Linked DNA regions of Drosophila melanogaster. The protein of the gene in region 1 purifies or fractionates together with the protein of each later gene. This does not show direct contact. Each region holds a gene or a part of one and is shown in the gene's direction. Other genes may lie near its edges.

Region 1 (9,738 bases):
CTTGAACTTGAACTACACGTGGAGGGCGTGCATGGGTTTTCGACTCGCTCGTCGGGCAGCAGCAACACGGGCTGCCGTAAGGAGGTCGTGCGCGAGTTTTCGACAGCCTCACAATCAATGCGCGTGTTGGCTCGCTCTTCTTCTTCTTCCTCTCACCCCACTCTCTTGCTGTCGCTCTCTGCAATGAGTAAGCAATGTTGTTTGCGGTGACTGTTGCAGTGGCAGCAACAACAAAAACAACAACGCCCAGTGGGTGGGCGGGGTGTTGGTTGGATGGGCCAAACGAAAGGGAAGGTTTCCTGGCTGCGCCATTTCTTAATTCTGTATTTCTGAATTGTATGTACATCAGTACATATGAATGCTTGTACGTGCATATTGAGATATGTATACAGATGTTGAAAAAGTGAAAACACGTCATTGGACTATGGGGAATTTGATCTTATTTGTTAGCAAAAATGTGTTATTAAAAACGTTGAAAATTTGAAAATTTGTTTCTTAACGGATTTTAAAATGTTTACGAGATATTTATTTGCGACAACAAATTCGAATTCCCTATAGTGCATTGTGCTTCTGAATTTATGTACACACATATGAATGTATTCGTATTGTAGAATATAATTCTGGTATTCAATTTCGCCAACTAGCGCAAGCTGACTTGGGAATATTACGCCACATTTTCCAGCTTAGCGATTATGAAGCTCCCCCCGACACCATTCTTTGTACATCAACCCTTGCGACTATAGTATGCGTTCTCGCTCATCGTAACTGTAATACTCGCTGCCTGCCTGAGTGCGTGTCTTTGCTTTTTGACCTAGGCCAACCCAACCACTTCGCCCACGCAATTTGTGCGTGGCAGCGGCGACGCACACTGCGGCAGAGGCGTCGACAGAGCGGCGGCAGAGCAGCAGCTGCGCAGCCTAAGCTCAGACTTCGTGTCTAGACCTTCGCTATATAAATACAACACCAAAGTAGAATGCTAAAATTTCTAAATCTGGCATATTTCGTTCAGTCGTTCGTACAGCTCTCGTTCTCTCATGTTTCATATGCAAAGATTCTATAGTAAACTGACTTTGTTTTCAAAAATATATAACAAGTACACGTTTTCAAAAAAGAATATCTATATATTTTAAAACATTTAGTATGTTCATAATTTGAGCCTTAATAGTCGAAGGTTAATAATTGTGCTTTAGACTGGAATTTTCAATCCTTCCGGCCATATTCCCCACCATGGAATTTCCAGTCACTCCAATTTCATTCGCTTAATTTCAATATCTTATCGCTGTTGATAGTTCTCGTTTGATAAGTCTGCCTAGAGCCCTAACTTTAGCGTACAATTTCATTGAGGGACATCCTATGAATTGAAAAACGGCGAACGTGTCGTGTTATATTGCCTTATCTTATCGGGGCTCATCGAACCTTAGCTAGAATATGTATGTGAAATGTTAACGCGATCCTCCGGTTGGAATAGATACTCTCGACGGGAGCAGAAGTAATTTTATAAAAAAATCCGATTCGAGGGGGGAAGCGAAGTGAAAAGCTTACAATTTGCTTATATTTAAGTGTTCAATGACCCCATCAAAAGTCCACAAAGAAGACACCAAAAAGCAACACCGAATCCAAACCAACTCAATTTATGTATCTGTATCTCTGCGTATGTATCTCCACGTGTAAAATAGCTATGCATGTGTAAATAGGGTGTATTTTTGGAAGTGAACCGAAGTGAATTTAATTATAATTTTAATATAAATACTTCTTTTAGTTTAGTTTAGTTTCGTTTGAGCGTTTCACGTTCAATCTGGTATCTGTTTGTATCTAGCTTTCATACTGACCGCCAAGCAACTTTACTGATCTATCCAAACACGGCGATCACTTCCATTAAAGACCAGTTTTAAGTCGCTTTATTTCAGAGCTATCCCAACAAAATAACGGCACTTTAACTTTTCCGAACCGCAGCTGAATCCCCTCCCCTCGTTTTTCCCATTCTAGCTGCCCCCCGTTTTGGGAAGCAACTCATAAGAGATAATTGTGTCTTTCCCCCTCAAAAAATATTGTGTCGTTCATACCTTCAGAAACTTTTTGGTCGGGCAACCCAAAAGAGCACGAGCGCACGAATCGGGGGATCGGGGGATCGGTGATCATTCTCTGCCCTCCAACAACACCGCACTCACTCAAAAATAGTTTTTGTGTCGAATGTTAATGAACTTTTGCGCTAGTTTAACGCACAGCCAGCCGAATAAACATTCAGACACAATAACAACGAAAGCCGATAAAGTTTTTTGAACCTGCCTTCACCGAAACTTTTGTATTTCAACATTTGCTTCTCGTGCTCATTCTGTTTTTTGGGAGGGTTTCTTATAAATGTTCGCTTGTTGAAGGTGGAAACTGGTCGTTGGCTTTCTATAGATGGACTGCTCAAAATATATCCCTGAGATTTTGTAGCCTCTAAACGTATAGTTGCCGCAATTGTTAGTTAATTGGTATGCTAAGTGTGGCAAGCAAGTTGGACTTTGGTACTTTAAAGAATAATAACTATAAGACTGCGATAAGAACTATCAGAACTTATTGCCTAATTCGTTGCATTTATGACTCAAATGCTAGAATCTTATCAATGAAAACCCAACTAATTACATCACTTAAATGAAATCACTTCAGAGTTCAAAGTTTATTCAATGCTTGTATATGTACATATTTTCAATTAGTCTGAAATAATAAACGTCGCAGATAACTTAGATACCAATGAAATTTCCCTGAGCTCGGGGAAATTTTGGTGCTCCATAAAAGAGAATGTCATCGGAAAAGTCCGAAACCACTCAAACTCAAAAAAAAAAGAAACACTCGAAAATTTCCCTTGTCATCGCACTCAAACATTTTCCAATTGAGGGAAATTTCAGATCCAATGGGACCATTCTTGTTGGTGGTGGTTGATTTTTCCGTGACAGGGTTTGAGGCAGATTTTTCGGGAACTCACCCACCAGTCTCCGTTACACCATCGAACCGAAAACCTCGGGAGCGGCGATGTGAACATAATCTGAATCCCATTCTACTCCGTTAAGTGTTGTTTGTACGGGTGTTGTGCGTGTGCGTGTGCTTGTGTGTGTGTGTGTGTGTGTGGTCCACACCTCGAAAATGACCGACTTTTCAATGAACGATATTTTGAGATCATTCAGAAAAATGCGTATGAACAAGGGCTCGGGCCAGGGCGGTCAGCACCACCAATACCGCAATCATCAGCACCAACAGCAGCCTCCGCAAAATATGCAACACTACCAACACACCTATCCCGTGCAACAGTCGAAGGACTTGAAGAAAATCATCAAAATCATCAAGAAGAACCTGATCAAGGAGAAAATCACGCGTCAAATGAAAATCCTTGTCTAAAAATGTCATGAGACGAGCTAAATGAATGAATAAATCTTAAGACTGCTGATATACAAATCGAGGGACTGATACTGAAAAACTGACACGAGTTCAGCGCTAAAGTCTGATTTTGTAAACTCAAATCAATGAATAAATTTACAAGTATACACATTGAATAAGAAAAGATCTCTTCAAACTTATAAACTATATTATAAATTAGACTTGCTTACAATTGAATGATTTGACTTGAACAATCAAAAAGTATTATTAGGAGGAAAACCTGTATGGAGCAGTAGCAAGATGACTGAAAGCAAGAATGATACAAAATCTTGGGCACCCAAACAAATTTGGATTAAGGATGTTCTCAAGAAATCGGGCACGGAACTGCTCGATATATCCAAGAGTCCCGCAAAGGCTGTTGCCGTCAAAAAATCGCCGGCGAAAGGTAATTGAGATGCTTTTCCTAAAAATTCAGACCGAAAAAGTTCCCTCACGACGCCATTTTGTTTTGGTATACGCAATTTTTGTTTTGGGGGAAGTTGTGGGGTTCGTTCATACTATCATAACAAAAAAAAAAAAAAATACAACAGCGCGACTGATACAGAAAGTGCGAGCGAGCAGGATGGCAACGGGAAATGCCGGTTGGAAACCGTACGATTCGTAATGCTATCTCCCAAATATCCCAAGTGGGACATTTTCGAGGCAGGGTTCTCAATGAAATTTTTCCCATTTCCTCTGGCTCTCACTCTCCTGCGCCTTCGCTTTTCCTCCCCCCATAAGCTCTCGCTAGGTTTTCCTTATTTTGGAAAACCCCGGCCGGCAATAACAGAAAGTGCGTAGCACAAATTCACGGGGTGGGTTTTCCCCTTTACGCCCTTTTTTCCTTTGGCTCTTACGAGACTTTTCCTAACCACCCGTATTGCACTTTCTATCTGCTTCCGTGTTTTTCCTGAGACGCAGATTGTGAATTGATGGGGGGCAAAGGAGTTAGACCTTATACTATGGTTAAGCTGGCTTTGTAGAACCACAAAAACCAAACAATAGGTTGCTAATATAACTAATAAGCAGTATCTAATTTATAATTTCTTGTATTATTACTTAAGTCTATTTAGAACCAACTATTTTGGTCAGGTATCAAACTAGTTAACTATGGTCAAAAATCTAATGCGGCTCCTTCTTTTTCGCCCTCTTCCAGATTCAGCCACAACCAAAATGGTTTACTATTCCGCCAACCAGCTGCTTATAAAAACGGAACAATCTAGTCAGGCGCAGTTCTGCCTCCAGGTTCCGCCTCCACTAACAGCGACGACCACGAGCGTGGGCCTAGGAGTTCCGCCATCCGGCGGCCAACAGGAGCACTTCGAGCTGCTGCAGACGCCGCAGCAGCGACAAATGCAACTGCAGCTACAGGACCAGCACCAGCAGGAGCAGCAGCAGTTTGTCAGCTACCAACTGGCCATCCAGCAGCATCAGAAGCAGCAACAACAGCAGCAACATGAAAGTATTACGAACGCAGCACCCACAGCAGCTCCATCAGCCCAGCGGATCAAGACAGAGCCCGTCGGCGGATTCCCAGCGTCGGCAGCCGTGGTGTCGCAGGTGCGCAAGCCCAGCGCCAGCAAACCGCAATTCAAGTGCGACCAGTGTGGCATGACCTTTGGCAGCAAGTCCGCCCACACCTCACACACCAAGTCGCACTCGAAGAACCAAGATCTGTCGCTTAATGGCGCCTCTGGAGCCGGCGTTGCTGCGCCCGTCTCAACCGCGGCCATCGAGCTCAATGATGCCGGTCTGCCGGTGGGCATTCCCAAGAGCCCCACCATCAAGCCGCTGGCCAACGTGGCCGCCGGAGCAGATCCCTATCAGTGCAATGTTTGCCAGAAAACATTCGCCGTACCCGCCAGGCTGGTAAGTGTCACGAAAACAGAGATTTGAAATATTTGGACCACCATATCAGTGATATTAATAAGTAATATATCTCCTTCGCTTTTAGATCCGCCACTACCGCACCCACACTGGTGAACGGCCATTCGAGTGCGAGTTCTGCCACAAGCTGTTCAGCGTGAAGGAGAACCTCCAGGTGCACCGGCGCATCCACACGAAGGAGCGTCCGTACAAGTGTGACGTCTGTGGACGGGCATTCGAACACTCCGGGAAGCTGCACCGCCACATGCGCATTCACACCGGCGAGCGGCCACACAAGTGCTCCGTGTGCGAGAAGACATTCATCCAGTCCGGCCAGCTGGTGATCCATATGCGCACGCACACCGGCGAGAAGCCGTACAAGTGCCCGGAGCCGGGATGCGGCAAAGGTTTCACCTGCTCCAAGCAGCTCAAGGTGCACTCGCGAACGCACACGGGCGAGAAGCCCTACCACTGTGACATCTGCTTCCGGGACTTTGGCTACAATCATGTGCTGAAACTGCATCGCGTCCAGCACTACGGCTCCAAGTGCTACAAGTGCACCATCTGCGACGAGACGTTCAAGAACAAGAAGGAGATGGAGGCCCACATCAAGGGCCATGCCAACGAAGTACCCGACGACGAAGCGGAGGCGGCGGCTGCGTCGGCAGCAGCATCAACGTCCGCAGGCTCCTCCGCCGGATCGCCGTCCTTGCAAGGAGTCAGCAGCAACTCCGAGAGCAGCAACCACTCGCCGCCCAGCTCGCCACCGGCCACAAAGAAACCTCGCCAGGCTCGCCAGCCGCGCGTTTCCAAAACCGTTGCAGCCACCCTTTCCATCCCTACCTCCTCGCCGCTCTCGCCCAGCTCACTCAGCTCCACATACTCGCCATCGGCCAGCAGCATGGCCTCGCCACCACCCACATCGGCCCACTACCTGCCCGTCCAGATGGAGGCGGATGCCTTGAGCCGGGACAGCGGCGTGTCCAGCGCCCAGCCCGCCCACAGCACCTATGCAGACGAGGAGCCCACAGATTTGAGCATGCAACAGGTCCAGGGTCAGCTGCCAGAAAGCACTGTGGACTACTACCAGGCACCGCCAAGTCTACTCGAACTGCAGCCACAACCCGCTGGTCTAACCATCAATCCTGCCCTGCTTGAAGCGGCCAGCATTGCGCGTCGCCATGACGACAACGATGACCAGGTGCAGGATGAGGATGTGCACGCAGCCGCCTGGCAAATGATGCAGTTGTGCCGCGGCCACGGCTCCTTACCCCCAACGGAGCAGCCGGCGCCAAGCCACCAGCCACAGGTGCCCACTCTGCACGTCAGCGATCTAGCGGCTAACTACGATGACACCCATGAAGCCACCGTGCTGATCGAGCACTTCAAGCGTGGTGATCTCGCTCGCCACGGGCTGCACAAGGGCTATGCACCAGTGCCCAAATATGAGTGAGTATTTTGGTCCCCCAAGCCGGATGCTTGTGTTTTTGTCTAAGAGTATAACTAAATCGAATTGCTTACTATTCCCATCAGATCCGCTCTACCCAATCCGGACGTTGTGCGACGCGTGGAGGCGGCCATCGGCCTGCGTTCCAGCACGGAGTCGCCGGAACGTAGCTCCTCGCCGGAGAGCGACTCCCTGATGATGGCCGACCGGAACGTGATGACGCTGCCGTTGCGCAAGCGCAAGCACTACATGAACAAGGGCGACGACGGTCAGGTGGATTCGGAGAAGGCTAGCGGAGATGGCACCTCCGCCGCCGGTGGTGCCGCTTCCGTTGGCGCCGGGGATGGACCCGGGTCCAAGGTGATGCGAATGAGCTCGGTCATTCAGTTCGCCAAGGCCTCCTAGGGGTCCAAGGCCGATCCCCAATCAGCATTAAGACTGTCCAAACAAATTCTAACTGAAATTAGCCTAAGTTTTTTCTCTGAGGTTCGGGGTTAGGCCTGGAAAAAGAAAGCATAGAAACGTATGGATATGGCAGTGAGATAGTTTTCCAGCAGCGAAAATGAAAATGCCAAAAGTATTAAAAAAGGGAAAAATTTGTTTTAAAATTAATATTACCTCCTATTACGTTTTATTGGCTTGATCCGAGTTTTGTTGAATGTTTGATTTGAAAATAGTTTCACCCATATTGCAAAATTTCATTTTAGTTTGGCATATACAATGTAGGTATAGTTTGTTTTCCTGTGTTGTCCACTTAGTCAAATTGCAGCAATTGGCATTATGCGTATTAAGCATTAGCATATAACTAAGTTAATTATATATAAAAGATCACTTAACGACGCCCAAACCCAAACCCAAACCCAAATCCAAACCGTACACAATAATAAGTTACGCGCATAACTACATATATACACATATTAATGAGAACGAAAAACCATGGCCATATTGGCGCTTAATATTTATAAAATACATATAATACTTATTTATTATGAACTCTGCTCGCCAAACTTCTTCCTTCCCCTCCACGATTAGTGTCAACGGCATCTTTGACATCATGTACCCATCATTTTATATGCATTTTATACACTAAATAAGGGAAAACTGAGGAAAAAGGATCGGTAACTTTAATTTTACACACGGAGAATATTGAACTGATAAACAAGAAGAAAGCAAGCATAACTACGTTTATATACATTTTCAAACCAGAAGATAACAAATATAATTAAGAGCGTCAGCATAGTTTTTGTAAACGCAGAGTTAATACATAGATTTAAATTCTAAAATCAAATATTGCATGAAAAAACGCAAATGAAATCTGAAAATCAATAAACAAGCGTGAAATAAACCAATTCGGTGTATGTGTATTTTAATGGGGCGTTTTAATTTAAAAAACTTACCCATTTCGCTTGAGAAATCGCAGATGAAGTAACTCGATCCAATTCGGTGATGAAAATGTAGATGCACCAATGTTGGAGGTTAATAACCCTCGTTGGAATATTTTACCATGTTTGCCACCTCATTGAATGCGAATAAAACATCGAAATTTCATTACTGAATGCATTTTTATATATCATTCACTTGTGACTATACGAATGGTGTGCTAAACCCACCACAGTTCGATTAGCTAACATTTTGATTATAAAAATGGTTTTACAATTCATTTGACTGCTTCAACTAGACGCAGTCAGTTTTCCTGTCTGCCTTTGTATAAATGAAATATTAATTAAATTTTAAAAATCATGTACAACGGGCAAAGCTGCCAAACGAGCAAGGCTTCGTTTGCGGTGGCTAGAGAGATAAACAAATTATGATACAACTAAGCAAACATTGCAATTAGTATAAGAGATAAGGCAGCCGGCACAAACTATGCACTTAAACTAATTAACATGATGGAGGAGGGGTGGGACGACGCTGGGAGTGCTGGGGGGGGGAGGAGTTGTGGCTTATTGCAGAAAACTAAACCCTGTTTACAAACTAATAATGCAAATCGAATAACTCTCTTCTGGCCATTGAGCATCAGATGCCAATGTAGGAGCACAGCACGAACACGGCGAAAATCATGACAATCAGAAAGACGATGGCAATCCAGGCGGGGATTGTACCTAAAAAGAAGTTGGCAGTGAGATAATTTCCAATTTTACACCAATTTTATTGCTTACGTCTTTGGGACAGACTGTGGATGCAGACTTTGTTGTCCACCGAAATGGACAGAACGGCTGCCTCCGTGTCGCTGGAAATGGGCGGTCCCTCCTCGTTGGTAATAGGCAGGAACTGGAGGCCAGTTACGAACATGGAGTGTGCATGGGGAATGTGGAGCACGCGCTGCAAAACGTAAGCAAAGAATTGGAGTTAAGACTATTAACGTACACTTTGATTAGTTGCCTCTGCTCACCTGCAGACTGAATGCAATGTACATGGATACGCTGCCTGAGAACATCGTGCCGACGGCCACGAATCGACCATCATCCCGCACTGCCAGTGACGAGAGGCTTTCGTCAATGGCCACAGCCTGACGCAGTTGCCCGCTGGCACAGTCCCAGTGCTGCAGGAAGCCACGCTGCTTTCCCACCTTGCCCAGCGGATTGGCAATGGTAAAGAGGCGGTAGTTATCCTTTTGCGCCTCCACGGTTCCGTAGCGGCACCGTTTGAACAGGTACTTGGCCCCCTCGGGCGTTTTCCACTGCAGCTTGTGTTGCAGCTGGCCGCTGGCCAGGTCCCACACCAAGCCCTGTGCATCCTTGGAGATGCTGGCAATTAGCTTGCTGTCGGGACTGAAGTCCAGGTCATCGATCTCCTTGCTGTGTGCCGCCAGCTCGGCGGCCAGCGTCATCTGGGGGAACGTCCAGACGCGCAGTTTTCCGTCCGTGCCGCCAGTGGCCATCAGACGGCCATTACCGCTGATGCGCACCACGCGCTGCAGGGGCTCGGCGCCCTTGAGGAAGTCCGTCTGGATCACATCCGCCGCCTGGATGTCGAAATGCAGTCGCCGAAACTGACGCAATATGTCGGCGGTGGAAAGGGGTGGCCTG
Region 2 (6,296 bases), 5.2 Mb from region 1:
GTTCCAGTTCGGCCTCGTTCTTCAAGGGAAAACTTTTGGCTAATTTGCGTGCGGCAACTAAAACATTTTCCTGGTAGGCGGTTTCTGTGTGGCTCAGTTCGGTTAACGCTCCGTTCGCAACTAAATTTCCATTCAACTGTCATTTGCGAGGGAGCAAGCCCCCCCGACTGGATTTTAATTTCACTGTCATAAGCAAGCGATTAATGACTGACAAGTAATTAAATATGCGGCGATAAGGCGGCTGGGAAAACCCCATCTTCATCATCATCATCTTTGTCGAAAAAAGGCGGATGGAGCTATCTATCATCGGGTGGCTGTGATTGGGCCATAAAATTAAATAAACGGCTGACTAAATTCCACTATCAAATTGAATTCGGCAATTTGTCCCTGCACACTCTGCATCTCCGTTTACTATGCAAAGGATCTCGAATGGAGGGCAAACTGTTTATGTTGCCTGCTTGGCCCATAAAAAAGAGGCGGACTGCGGTTCTCCGCCGGAAATCTCATTTTGTTTGTAAATCAGCAATTTGCAGCCGGGCACAGGACGTTCTCGATGTCGTTGTCGCCCCACCAACACACTCGAAAAGTGGGAGCACCCACATTGGTACACTGCGCAAAAACCTCATACTTCCTCATTACTAACATACATGCATGAATGCAAAGTGCTTTCTATTTCCTGCTCTGTATATGGTTGATACATAGTTACATCAGTTACATCAGTTACATAGTTACACAGCATGACTAATTTTTCTCAGTGCACACACTCACATTTTTAAACGCTCAATAAGATTGGAAAATTGATGGCGGTATTGCTCATTGGTTTGGTAACGCTCTTCGCCCCGCTTTTCCGGGCACCCTTTTGCTTATCGCTCGGCAGGACTCGCCTGGCAGGAGCAGGCGACTCCACCCACTTGGTAAGTAAGTAAATCCCTCATTTTCAGTGGAAATAAAAATTGCCCCAGCAGCGTAACGCAAAATAAACACATTTAAGTTGCAAATTGAATTTTGCATAATCCCAGGCGCCGCAGCGATGCCACTTGGGCTGGGTTTCTGTCCTGGGCTTCTGTCCTGGATCTCCTTATCGCGGGTCCGTCTTCGTCCTGTGCTGTCTGTCGCTCCTTTTTATGTTTTTTTTTTTTTTTTGGTGGCACTGGCACACTTCACATCAGCGCATGAGACGGAATTTCTGATTAGTTGCCATGGATTCCCCTTCGGCGCCCAACACTTTGCACTTGTTTACCCTGCTTTGACTTTGCCGGAATTCTATTTATTTTCGAAAATTTCTTTTGGGACGCGACACTCTGCCCACATGAATGTCACACACGCAGCAGGCAGGACGCCTCCTTTTCCTAGGCGTGTGATCCTGGGGGATTTACAAAGTAGCCGCGTAATTGAATTTACTTTATACTTTGCCTGATTAGAAAAAGTTGATTGGATTTCACGCTGCCTCATATGGCGGCACAAAAGTTGACGCAGTTCCTCCTCTTCTGGTCCGCAGATGAATGTGTGTGGGCCAAGTCAATTAATGCACGTAGACTGTAGGGATTTCCATATCATATATGTATATACGTATCATATACATATTTCTAACTATCTACATTTTTGAGGACATGTCGCCAGTCTGATTTATCTTTTCTGGCGCAGAAGAAGCACCAATTCTAAAAATAAATTGGCACAAACAAAGATGCATTGAACGAAATTTGAGATAGCTGGTCACGGATTTGAATTTGGTTGACGTAATGCCGGCTTGATTGCACCTGCAGAGCTGGCTCTTGGCAACCAGATGAATAGAAGTCTGGCTTTGATAAGAGACAAGAGGGTAGCAAGGCGATAAGAGGTAGTCCGGCACAGATGGACAGATGGCGCGATCGCAGCACCTGAGATACACCCAGTGACCCCCAAGCTGCACCGCGATATCTCCGAGCAGATTCCGAGCTCCGGACACTGCGATCGTAGGCGGGACTCTTGGGTATAAAAGCAGCCAGGTGGACGGCAGTGAGGCAACAGTCTTTAGGCATTGGATCCACTGGGTGCATCTGATCCGGAGCAGTTGAGTGTCAAGTGTAGAGTTGCAGGAATCCGTCAACATGAAGATCGCCATCGCATTGCTGGCCTGCCTGGGCCTGGCCGCCGCTGCCAGCTTCCACCAGACCCACGAAGTCAAGATCGCCGACAAGGCCTTCCTGATGAAGCAGAAGTTCCTCTTCGAGATCGTCTACCGCGTGGAGGATCCGCTGATGTTCGAGGACCACATCAAGCAGGGCGAGAAATTCTACTTTGAGGAGTCCTACTACACTGTAAGTGGATATAGCACTGGCTGAAGTTGTGCCTCTCCCTAATCACTGATCATTGTGATCCCTTCCAGCACTACGACATGTACATGAAGAAGTTCTTCGAGGCCTACAAGGCTCACGCCCTGCTGCCCAAGGGCGAGTTCTTCGGCGCCCTGGTCATGTCCCACGCCAAGCAGGCCCGCGGTCTGTTCAACTTCTTCTACTACGCCAAGGACTGGGAGACCTTCGCCGCCAACGTGGCCTGGGCCCGCATGCACGTGAATGAGGGCATGTTCGTCTACGCCCTGACCATGGCCGTGATCCACCGCAACGACTTCCATGGACTGATGCTGCCCTCGATCTACGAGATCTTCCCACAGTTCTTCTTCAACAGCAAGTTTGTGTTCGAAGCGGAGAAGTTCGACTACGAGATGTGGATGAAGATGACGATGTACGAGAAGGAGTACATGGATGTGTACTACAAGACCAACGGATACGACTACTCAACCATGTACCGGTCCAGCGACTACACCTACATGAAGGACTTCAAGACCTGGCAGTGGTGGAAACTGATGGGTCTGGGCGAGCACTGGTACACCGAGGACAAGTTCATTCTGCGCGAGAACATCTACGAGTTCAACCAGGAGACCAAGTGGCTGTCGATGATGAAGGACGTGAAGAAGTTCTACATGCCCGTGGACTACACCCGCGACCTGAACCTCTACAACAAGGAGTCCAAGCTGTCCTACTTCACCGAGGATCTGGGCTGGAACGCCTACTGGTACTATCTGAACATGGACTACTCCTTCTTCCTGGACGGCAACACCTTCGATCTCAAGAACGACCGTCGCGGCGAGTGGTGGCTCTACAACGTGCACCAGCTGCTCAGCAGATACTACATGGAGCGCCTGTCGCACGGATTCGGCGAGATCCCCGAGTTCTCCTGGTACCAGCAGATCGAGATGGGCTACGACCCCCAGCTGATCTACTACAACGGCATTGGCTACAGCTTCCGCAAGAACTACTACGAGATGGAGACCTACGCCAACTACGATATGCTGGACAAGATCACCGGCTTCCTGAAGCGCATTCACAACATCGTCGAAATGGGCTACTACAAGACCGCCGATGGCCACACCATCGATCTGCGCAAACCCGAGGCCATCGAGTTCATTGGCAACATGCTGCAGGGCAACGTGGACGCCATGGACAAGATGTTCTACCAGTTCTGGTACATGCTCGCCCACATGTACTTCGCTGACGCCGACTATTACCAGATGGACGTGTACCCCAACGTGATGCTTAACTTCGAGACCATGATGCGCGACCCGATGTACTACATGTTCTACAAGTCCATCGCCCAGGTGTACTTCCAGTTCATGCACTACCTGCCCAAGTACACCAAGGAGCAGCTCCTGATGCCCGGCGTGACCATGAAGAACGTGGAGGTCAGCGACCTAACCACCTACTTCGACCTGGTCGATTTCGATGTGACCAACATGCTCAACGACAAGATGATCTTCCAGGACGGCAAGTTCGTGTGGGACATGTCGCTGTTCGCCCGCCAGATGCGCCTCAACCACAAGCCCTTCACCTACACCTACACCATCGAGTCCGAGAAGGTCGAGAAGGTGGTCATCCGCGCCTTCCTGGGACCCAAGTTCGACGAGTTCGGCAAAGTCATTTCCCTGGCCGAGAACCGCATGAACTTCATGGAGATCGACGAGTTCTACTACGAGCTGAAGGCCGGCACCAACAAGATCACTCGCAAGTCCAGCGAGTTCTACTGGACCGTCAAGGACCGCACCACCTACACCGAGCTCTACTACTACACGATGATGGCCTTCGACGGCAAGTACGACTTCCCCCTGGACATCAGCGAGCCCCACTGCGGATTCCCCGACCGCCTCGTCCTGCCCATGGGCTGGCAGAAGGGCATGCCCATGCAGATGTTCTTCATGGTGGTGCCGTACGTGGCCCCCGCCCACGAGCAGTTCTCCACCTTCGACTACACCTACTCCTGTGGTATCGGATCCGGAGCGCGCTACGTGGACAGCCTGCCCTTCGGCTATCCCTTCGACCGTGCGATCGACGAGTACGAGTTCTTCGTGCCCAACATGTACTTCAAGGACGTGTCCATCTACCACGCCGACACCATGGAGCCCTACTACAAGTACAAGAGCTACTCCAACTACGGCCACTTCGACTACACCTTCTTCAACGATTACTACACCAAGTACTTCAAGTTCTGAGCGTCGTCGTTGTGTGTGCGGCTTCGATTGCGAAATCCGGAAAACGATCACGGAACGATCTACTGAATGAGCGCGGATGTTTTTAGAGTGTCTGATACCTAGCTAGTAAGGTGTGCAAAAAGTCTAATAAACTTTCGAAAACCAAGTAAAAGTGGCCCTGTTTTCAATATATCTAAAGAGGACCCCACAATTTGAAAAGGAAGGAACGTTCCTCATCGGTAGAAATATACTTTCGGGGGTCATTTATTCATTCTATCAATGTAGTTGCAAGGCAGGCTACATATATGAAAATAATGATACTTTTAAAATTTATTGCAGATGTCGGGACGGCGCGAACGCCATTCCCGGCTACCAAAAATTACACGCACGAGTTATTCACATTAGGAATAATCGCAGAGGTCAACTCAGCCGAGGTGCAATGGCCAAGCCTCACTCCGGAGGAACCGCCTTCGTGATCACGGTTAACCTCTACGCCAGGTAAGTATGCTTTCCTCAGCTCAGGGAATGGGTTTCCATGAGCTGATGGCCAGAAGCAGTTGGGAATTATTGCAGTGAAAGTGCGTGAAAGTCTTACCCCCGAAAGTATGTTAGCAAAATGTTACATCTGCAGTTGGGTTGATTTTTGTAAACTGTGCGTTGATATTGTGGTTCTTATCTGCTTCCACCCTTATACATATTATATGTAACCTTTGGATTTTACTGTTTCATTTAAATGATTATATTAACGAGCGAATAATGATAAGAATAATTTTAATTAAAACTAAACAATCTGAGAGGCCCACAATAGTTTTACAAGCCACGAAAATATCAGCAATAAAATGGTGAAAAATCGCCGGAATATGGTTAACCTGACAACGAAACAGAGCATCTTCTATACGGAATATTTATGGGGTAGTAATAAATGATTTTGCAGAATTCCATAGGCCGCAAAAAACTAATAATCGAAATAGTTTCGGTAACTCGATAGAAAGTTCGATGGTGTGAATGGATCAGCGGGAGACTGGGGCGCCGAAAGTGATTTAATTTATGGCAATTACAAATTGTTATTAGAAATTTGCGGTCAACGAGGGCGCACACGACCGCAGGTGAATTTGAAATCAAATGGGAAAATGCGAAATGAACCAGGCTGAAATAGCAAAAAAGCAGGAGAGCAAAAATTATTGTTGACATAAGCCGCATATTCTGTGCGATGTGCGTGAATTGTTTGCTGTGTGTTTGTTTGTTTGTTTGTTTGCGGGCCACTCGTGTCCTTTTGCATTATTCCAGCACATATTGTGATGCACTGAAGGACTCGCTGCAAATGCATAATTAAACTAGCAAACACGGCCATCAATTTAACCCCAGTGCTTCACTGCTTCTCTGTCGCTCTGTTTTTGATGAGCACTTGACAAAACGCTAATGAAAGTGCCGGAGGGGGAGTGTTTGTGTTTTCGCGGCATTTTAATTAATAAATGTCCATCCAGTTTGGCCGGGTAACCTGGCCAACCGACCGCCATTGAGCGACCGACCAACTTTGCCACATTAGCTGCAATTCAACTTTATCAATAGGCTTCTAATTAACTGGCACACACACACACACACAGCTCGTCCTGAAGGACCCTTCTGCCCACAACACTTTTGCGTTGAGTTTGCTGATCTAGTTTTCGGGTTTCATGTTTAATCAGTTCAAACGCAATTCCGCAGTGAAACTATCTAATCCTCTTTCCACTCCTCAGTCACGTATTCCGAGAACATCTACCACGGAAACACAGTCATGGGTGAGGAAGTAGTA

What was found.
Region 2: the proteins of Kr-h1 (region 1) and Lsp1beta purify together in Drosophila melanogaster (affinity purification with mass spectrometry, with the first as the bait; one large-scale study listed by BioGRID). This does not show direct contact.

Annotation. Positions count from the first base shown.
Region 1 is NT_033779.5:6,088,443-6,098,180, forward strand, and holds Kr-h1 (kruppel homolog 1), read left to right. Parts: upstream 1-2,969; 5' UTR 2,970-3,126; coding exon of another isoform or gene 3,127-3,378; 5' UTR 3,379-3,657; coding exon 3,658-3,802; intron 3,803-4,552; coding exon 4,553-5,265; intron 5,266-5,350; coding exon 5,351-6,711; intron 6,712-6,795; coding exon 6,796-7,114; 3' UTR 7,115-8,056; downstream 8,057-9,738. Other genes in the region: CG45075 (uncharacterized protein), read left to right, coding at 3,127-3,378; CG9175 (uncharacterized protein), read right to left, coding at 8,726-8,811, 8,869-9,031, 9,102-9,738. UniProt on the Drosophila melanogaster protein: Plays a general role in the hierarchies of gene expression leading to metamorphosis.
Region 2 is NT_033779.5:896,645-902,940, forward strand, and holds Lsp1beta (larval serum protein 1 beta), read left to right. Parts: upstream 1-1,855; 5' UTR 1,856-2,087; coding exon 2,088-2,297; intron 2,298-2,365; coding exon 2,366-4,525; 3' UTR 4,526-4,672; downstream 4,673-6,296. UniProt on the Drosophila melanogaster protein: Larval storage protein (LSP) which may serve as a store of amino acids for synthesis of adult proteins.